Oryctolagus cuniculus: one gene and its partner. The protein of the gene in region 2 interacts with the protein of the main gene of each other region in a biochemical or structural test. Links are inferred from orthologs where the notes say so. Each region holds a gene or a part of one and is shown on either strand. Other genes may lie near its edges.

Region 1 (3,902 bases), on a different chromosome or scaffold from region 2:
AAAGCGCGCACTTGTCTTCACCAGCGCCCGGGCTTCGCGGGCCCACGCGACATCTGTCGCCCGCGCTCCCGGCTCACACCCCGCGCACCCCCGCAGCTCCCCCGGCGCTGCCACCCCCCACGCTCCGGCTGCCGCCTCTCCCCGCGGGCGCAGACGCTCGGGCCTCGCCCGCGGGCGCTGTGCCAGCTCGCTAAGGTGTGTGCGCCCCGCCAGGCTCGGCCGGGACTCGCGAGCGCGCGGCGTGGCGGGCCCAGGCATCCCAGGGCCTCTGCCATCCCCACCTCTGGTGCTCGCCTTCCACCTACGGTGGGGTCTGCCCGAACCTCTCCACCCTCATTCTCTGTCGCTTCACTACTCCAGAACCTGGAGAGAGGATCCTCACAATTGCGCTCTCCCAAAGCGCCAAGCACACAGCCAGGGCTCATGAACTTCTCCGCCTAAGGACTCGTACCTTTCTCCCACCGATGCCAAACAAATTAGGCACTCGATACTCACTTCCCATCTCCACCCCCGCGCAGCGCCCAGCAGACAGCAAGCTCTCAAAACGCCCCCTCCCTAAACAAAGCCCGGCATCCCGAGAGGAGCTCAATGAATGCTCCTGATTCAGGCTTCCCCTTGGAGGTTCCCTAAATCTCCAATATCAGCCCTCGGCTGGGACATCTCATTGCAGCTACGCCGTGTGGGGACTAAGAGGCCAACCAGCTCCTCACTCCGGACAGCTTGCTGGAGAGGCCCGAAGTTGGCAGCGCGGAGCAAAACTGCAAAGTGCGCGGGCCTGGAGGAGATCAAAGCGAACAGCCAGAATCCTGGAGGCGGAGGAAGTGGCGCGGTGCGCTCTCAGGGCGCGCGACAGTGGGGATCCGAAACTGGGGACGTGGGTCTTACGGGGAAGGGGGTCGGGAGCAGAGGCGGCGGGGAGGACAAGCGGCTTGGCAGAGGCCAGGGATTTGCCTTGAAACTGCGATGGGTGATTCTCTGGCTGGGTGGTGACTCCGTTCTCAAAGCAGGGGCACTTGGTACCTAAGTCGAGTGTCTACTTGTGGGGCTGGTGGGGGCTGCGGAGGCTCAAGTGCGCCAGATCCACTGCGCTGGAGGGAACCGCAGGATGAGCTCAAGGCGACGGACGGAAGCGGACAGAGAAGTGGCCCTGCCGCTCGGAAAGATATGGGAACCAAGATCCCTGCAAGGCAAGGGAGCAGAGGAAGAAGGGGAAGCGACGCTACGAAGCCCGAACTTGCCCCTCTCCCGCGCTCTGGCTCTCGCTCACTCGCTCGCGTACCTGTTGCTCGCTCCGGCTGGGTCTCGGCTCCGGCCCCACCAAGAAGCCCCGCGTTCCTACAAGTTCCGCCTGCCGAGCAGCCAGGCCGCCAGCGCCGCCACCTGCGCGGCCGCGCACAGCCAGGGCCAGTAGGTGGGGAGCGCGCCGGGCGCCGGCGCCCTCCGGCTCCGCGCGCGGCGCCGCCACATGGTGCGCTGGTGCAGCTCGTCGCCGAGTGCCTTGAGCCGGGCGGCGGTGAGCTGCGCGGCGGCCGAGCGCAGCCCCAGGCGGCCCGCGCTGCAGGCGCACACGGCCGGGGGGCCGCGGCCACGGTGCAGGGGGCACGGGCACATGACCGCTCGCCTCGCTCCCTCCGCGCGCTCCGGCCGCCCCTCGCCTCCTCTCCCTCCGGCCTCTGCGCCCGCCGCCGATGCGCTCCAGCCGCCGGGGGCCTCCCCTGGACACCAAGTTTCTCCTTGTGTAGTGCGTTTGTTGTGCTGACGGAGCTATTATTAATTAAAGTGTCACATGGTGGATGGGGGCGGGGAGGGAGCGGAGAGGGGGGTTACATCATCCGGCCCCCGGGGGGGGGGGGCTGCAGGCAGAAGAAACCGAGAGGTAACTTTTAACCCTAGCATCGCCGGCGGCGAGGGGGCGCGTGGTTTGGGAGAGGTGGGGCGCGCGACGCTGGGACGAGAGCAGGCGCCCCGCGGCGGAGAGCTTGGGCTTTGAGGGGTCTCGGGGGGGGGGCACCCCCGCGGAGACGAGGAGCGCGAGGGAGACGTTTTCTCCTTCCCCTTATCCTGATTTCAGCTCCAGTTCCGATTTGGCGGAGGCAGCAGGCTTGTTGGCCGCTGTGGATGAAGCGGATAGAAGAACTGGGCAGTACCGTTCAGAAACAACCCCCAGGCTGCTGTTTGGTTCTAGGGGAGGTGGGTGGATTCTAAGTCTGGCGGAAGGTCCAGAGGCAGCCCAGCCTGCTTCATTTCGGGTCCGCCTTGGCACCTGTACGCCTTTGGGTGTGAACACACACCCCCGCACGGCTCCGCCCGCAGCCTAGACCCTGCCGAGCGCCTGGAGCGCCGCTGGAACCCTGGAGGAGGGCGAGGGTGGGGACTGGAGGGGTCTGGCCAAGGTCGGGTGCGCGCACAGCGCCCGAACCCCGAAGACCCTCACAGGGGGGCTTTCTGCATGGGAACTTGATTTTTGTCTGCTTTCTTGGTGAATTTTTTTTTCCCCTGCTGGGGTTAAAGTTGCTAGCAGAGACGTGCGCGGTGGAGACCCGAAGGGACCGGCGAAGGTAAGGGAGAGGGAGGGGGGATGACTCTGGCCCTCCTCTTTCCTATCCTAGGGCGGTCGCTGTTCTGCAGACTACAACATGTGGTATTGTCACTCTCAGGAGTCTTTGGAGAACGAGACCTCTCCGGTCTTAAAGCACGGGGATTCAGGCCATTGGAGGCGCCGCGGCTCGGAGCCTGTGACCTGGAAGCTGTCCGGAGGCTCTCCTTTCCCTCCTTCCCACCAGCAGAGGTTTGCCAAGCTCTGAGGAGTCCTTTGGTGCCTTGGAAGAGCTACCTCAAGATCAGGAACTTAGCTCTGGGCTGGATGTGTCAGGCGGAGCCTGTCCTTGGCTTGTGGAGAAATGACAGAGGCCAGATCCCAGCTGGGCCATGTGCTCTCGATGGCCTGTGCTCCCACCCAGCCCTGGTTCTCCTGCCCTTGACAATGGCCAACACTCACTGAGCATCTTCTAGGTCAGGTGCCCTGCAGATGGGCTCTTGCCTGGGCTACCCAAAGTGAATTTCACAACTATCCTAGTGAAGAAACTGAGGCACGACGGGGAAGGCCTGAGGGCACAGCTCCCTAGTGAAAGGCGAAGCGTGCGTCTGGGTCTGCAGTAGGCTCTGAGCCGTTAACCATGGTTTTATACTGCCCCCTGTAATCTAGGAATAATAATACCTCCCTCCCAGGATTGGAGCAGAGATTAAATGAGAGAAATGTATGCCAAGCACCTGGCATGCGGCGGGCCTTGGATAAACCTTGGTTCTCTTTGCTTTTTGGCTAGATCCACTCCCCCATTCTCCTGGGACTCACCTCCTTAATCCCCGCTAGTCTTTGCAGGGGGGACCTGATCCATTGCCCGGGTGTAGCGTTCCAAGAATGAAGATACAGTGTCTATTTAAAAAGCCCTTTGGATTTAAATCGAACAATCCCCCCCCCCTCCTTTTTAATCTGCACGCTTTTAACGGCTCACTTCATGGACATTAATTTTAATGGGACGATTATTACCCTGTTTGGATGCCTGCCCCCTCAAAATGCTGGGCTCCCAAGGTGGCGCTGGGTCGGGTCCCAGCAGCTTGGATGTTTTCTACAGCAGAGAGAGTGCAGGCTTGGCCACGGGGATGCAGCATTCAGCAGGAGAAGAGGATGATGGAGAAGTGGGGACAAGGCAAGACCTCCCTCTCCTAGCACCCTGCATCTGAGCGCCCCTCATCTGCTCGCACCAGAGTTCTCCTAGCCCACCCCACTGCTCACTCACTGGTGAACTTGGCCTTGAGATGTGGCATTGTGGAGCTTCCATTTCATTAACTGCAAAGTACAAATAATAATGGTAGCAACAGTCTCACAGGTTTGAGTAAGACCC
Region 2 (3,877 bases):
ATAGGAGGGTCTCCGTAAAGGCTAATTTCCTTCCCTTTCCTGTGACGATGCCAAATTTAGACAACATCCGTCGGCAGGCAGAGTGGCCCGTAACTCCTACGCTCAGGGATCCCTCAGCTGAGGCCTCCAGGCTGAGCTGCTACTGCAGTAGCCAGTCACTGCTGCTCAGAGCAGGGTGGCACCTTTCCCGGCTCGCTCGGAGGGCTCTGACTCAAATGTTCTTCACCCACTGGTCTCAGGGGAAGAACACACTCCCAGGAATGGTTCTGACACAACTCGCTCTTCTACACACGTCCTCTGTGTTCACTAAGAGGAAGCGACGTGTGTGTGTGAGTGTGAGTGTGACTGTGTGTGTGTGTGTGGTATGTTGTCCAACGGGCTCTGACATTTTTCAACGAGGCGATGGGAGGTGGAATTTCCATCCAGTGGCGGGCGAATGGACGGGCCCAGGCCTGCTGGGTTTTAGACCTTTTTCACCCGCAACGCTGGGTTGCTGGCAATTCTCTGATTGGGACGGCCCTCTGCAGACTGGCTGGCAGACCAGGCACCTCTCCCAACCTGCCTTTTGTTTATAGCTGGCCACAACTCACCTGGTATTAGGACCACTGGCCAGAGACAGTGGTCAAGGCAAAGTGGGCAACTGGCCCACGTCCCTCCACAGAGATGCCTCCGAGGGTGTGTCTGTAGTACTGGAATCCTGGAATCAGCTGAACAAATATTTGCCCCCAAAGAGAATCAAAGCAGGAGGGACCAGGAGAGGTCATCACACAAAACCCAACAGGAACTGTTTAATCATTTATCCCCCAGGGAGTTCATTTACAGAATGGCTTTTCAAGTCTATCAGCCTTAGCTCCAGGGAGCCTCCGGCCTCTACCACCCCCACCCCCACCCCCACCCCCACCCCCACCCCGTCGCCTACTGACTTGACCCCCTAGCCTTTTTCAAGAGCCTGCTGAGGAGATGAGCTGAAGTTGCAAAGAAACGGGAAACGAGCCAGGGGGTGGGGTTCCAGGAGAAACTCAGGAGGTTTGGCTCCACGGTAAAACCGAGTGCCGGCCACGCCCCGGCCCAGCCCACGACAATCACATTCCTGGCATTCCTGAGTCCAGGTGCGCGGCCCTTCCACCTCTGCTCCCTCAATGGATGACTTATTCCCCACAGCCTGTGGATTTTCTGCATTTTCTGAGGGAACAGAATGCCTGTGTTCCGCACCTCCCCTGGGCAGGGAGACCAGCAAGGAAACAGGACCAACCCCGCCTGCAGTGACCACTGGTGCAAAAGGTCCCTCCACCACCTCCTCGTGACTCAGGGACGGAGAGAGACACCTCCCTGTCTGGACTGGGAGCTCCCTGGCGTCCCTCACTCTGCTCACGCCACCTCCAAGGCTTCCAGGACTCTGCGAGACCAGGCGAGCTGGCCACGTTTCCCAGTGCAGGAAACTGAGGCTCAAGAAAGTAAAGAGCCTGTCCAAGGTCACACAGCTGGCCAAGAGAGAGGGCTGGCGCTCCCACTCACGTCCAAAGTCTGACACCAAATCTCAATGGCCCACAGAGCCCCACAGACTGACTTCTTGCCTTGCCAGCCGGCCAGTCAGAGGCAGAGCAGCTGGAGCTCCTCACCCCACCCCAGGCAGCGAGTGAGGTGCAAAGTCCTGGGGCTTAAAGCGTGACACAGCAAGAGCTCCACAAACAGGCCAACCGTGCAGAAAGTTGCAAGCTGTGTGCAGCACCAACTCAGGAGGTGCAGCACCAACACGAGTGGCACAGCCCACGCTGACCTAGAATCGGACAATTCCGAACCCACCAAGCCACTGGGGGGAACTCCTGCTTGGCCACATAAGAAAACTCTGAAATAAAGGGAAGGAAGCCCAGGTCAGGACGGCCAGTCCTGGAGAAGAAAGGACGCAGCGACTTGTGGGTCCCCGGCACGCCACCACCTGCTCCAGACATTCTGCTTGTCACCCTTTCAAAGCATGGAGAGCCACTGCTCCAGAGTGAGGGGGGCACTGGACCAACCCCCCACTCACAGATCAACACCTCAGCTATTCTGTGCTGAGAAACTGGAAAATAAGCATGGAAGATCAGGGTCATGAGGGTGCCCAGATGGAAAGAACCAGGTCTGGTGCTGAAATGGGGCCAGTGCCTCCAACAGTCATCTAACTAGCAGAAGCTGCAGGGAAAGGCTGCTGGGGGTCCTCTGACAGAGGCCAAAGCACAGGGACAAATGAGGGGTGTGGTTCTTACCCAGCCGCCGTTCTCCTGGATCCAGGGCTCCAGGTGATCATTCAGGTAAGTGGCCATCCACGCCGCGATCCGACTCACCAATACCTCCATCTCCTTGTCCACGCTTTCCACGCACAGTGCCCCGCCGAAGGAGAAAAAGGCCACAATGCGGCCCCAGTTCACCCCATCCCGGAAGAGTTCGTTCACTACTTGTTCAAAGCTCTGATATGCTGTCCCTGGGGTGATGTGGAGCTGGGATGTCAGGTCGCTGAATGCCCGCCGGTACCGCAGTTCAAACTCGTCGCCTGCCTCCCTCAGAGCCTGCTTCACTGCTGTCATGGGGATCACCTCCCGGGCATCCAAACTGCTGCTGTGGCCAGTGGCTCCGTTCACCGCGGGGCTGTCCGCCGGGTGCCAGGCTGGGTTGCCATTGATGGCACTGGGGGTCTCCATCTCTGGTCCAGTCCCTTCCGGGGCCTCAGTCCTGTTCTCTTCCACATCGCTAAACTGACTCCAGCTGTATCCTTTCTGCGAAAGCTTGTAGGAGAGAAAGTCAACCACCAGCTCCCGGTTGCTCTGAGACATTTTTATAATAGGGATGGGCTCAACCAGTCCATTGTCCAGAACACCTGCTCAGGGATTCTCTTCTGTGATCCAAAGCCAAAATAAGGCTCTGAAGGGAGAAAAAGAGCTTTAGGGAAAGAAAAAAAATTAGTATAAATGCCATTTCCCCCCGCAACATCCCCTTCCCCTTCCAGGTACCAAAACTCGTTTCTTTGTGGCTCCTATGAAGGTCTGGGTCTAGGTTCCACGAGACTTCAATGAAGTCAAATTGTAAGCACCACTGGGCTCTGAATCATCCCACTGGCCTCTTTTATCCCAGCCACCCCTTTTTCTCCGAAACGCTGTCCTCGGAAAGTCACCCCATGGGCAGTCCCCCCACCACCACCCGCCGCCCCCGCACCACCTACATTCAATTCCGTCTAAGCCGGCGACAGCAGGCAGGTGCACCCCCGTAAGATCTTTTGTATCATAGGTCGGGAGAGGAGGTGGCGGCAGGCCGGGATGCCGGTAACTCAGCCGGCTTCGCGGCGGCTGGCGAAACAAACAGCTCCGGCCGGAGGGATCATGCGACCCGGCAGGCTGGGCGCCCAGAAGGCGACACAGGAATTGCGACGCTCAGGAACCAGCCCGCTTGCTGGCTTGCTCCTCCATTGCCGGGATCCAGGGCCGCCGCTCCGCTCCGCTCCGCGCCCGCGGCCTCTAGCCACCCGGGAGCCCAGCCCCCTCGCTCTCGCACGCCCCTTGGCTCTCCGCCTCCTACTGGGAGCCAGGAGAACTCTCCCGGAGGTGGCTGCTGTAGGCTTAAGGTTTTTCTTTCTTTCTTTTTTTTTTTTTCCTCCTTCACTCCGGTCTATTTAAGTACCAGCCCTGGGGGAGGTTCCCGAAACCCTGAAGGGACTTCTCAATGGGGCTCAGGGTTTCGATGAGGGACGCGGGGAGGAGAAAGCTGCCTCCGATCTGCCATCTGACTCCGGGAAGGCCACCCCCGGGCCTTTCCGGGAAGCTGAAGGCCGGAGACCCCCAATAAACGCCGCTGATTTTCTTTGAATTCCCCAAAGGCCCTGAACGTGGCGGTGGGGGATTGCCAGGTC

What was found.
Region 1: the proteins of BCL2L1 (region 2) and HRK interact in a biophysical measurement, tested with the Homo sapiens proteins (3 studies listed by BioGRID and IntAct, with this or other methods). The link is inferred for Oryctolagus cuniculus from reciprocal best matches to the Homo sapiens genes BCL2L1 and HRK.

What each region holds. Positions count from the first base shown.
Region 1 is NC_091452.1:13,255,543-13,259,444, forward strand, and holds the start of HRK (activator of apoptosis harakiri), read right to left. Parts: upstream 2,365-3,902; 5' UTR 1,612-2,364; coding exon 1,336-1,611; 3' UTR 1,280-1,335; intron 1-1,279. UniProt on the Homo sapiens protein: Promotes apoptosis.
Region 2 is NC_091442.1:25,993,328-25,997,204, reverse strand, and holds the start of BCL2L1 (bcl-2-like protein 1), read right to left. Parts: upstream 2,808-3,877; coding exon 2,244-2,807; intron 1-2,243. UniProt on the Homo sapiens protein: Potent inhibitor of cell death. Inhibits activation of caspases. Appears to regulate cell death by blocking the voltage-dependent anion channel (VDAC) by binding to it and preventing the release of the caspase activator, CYC1, from the mitochondrial membrane.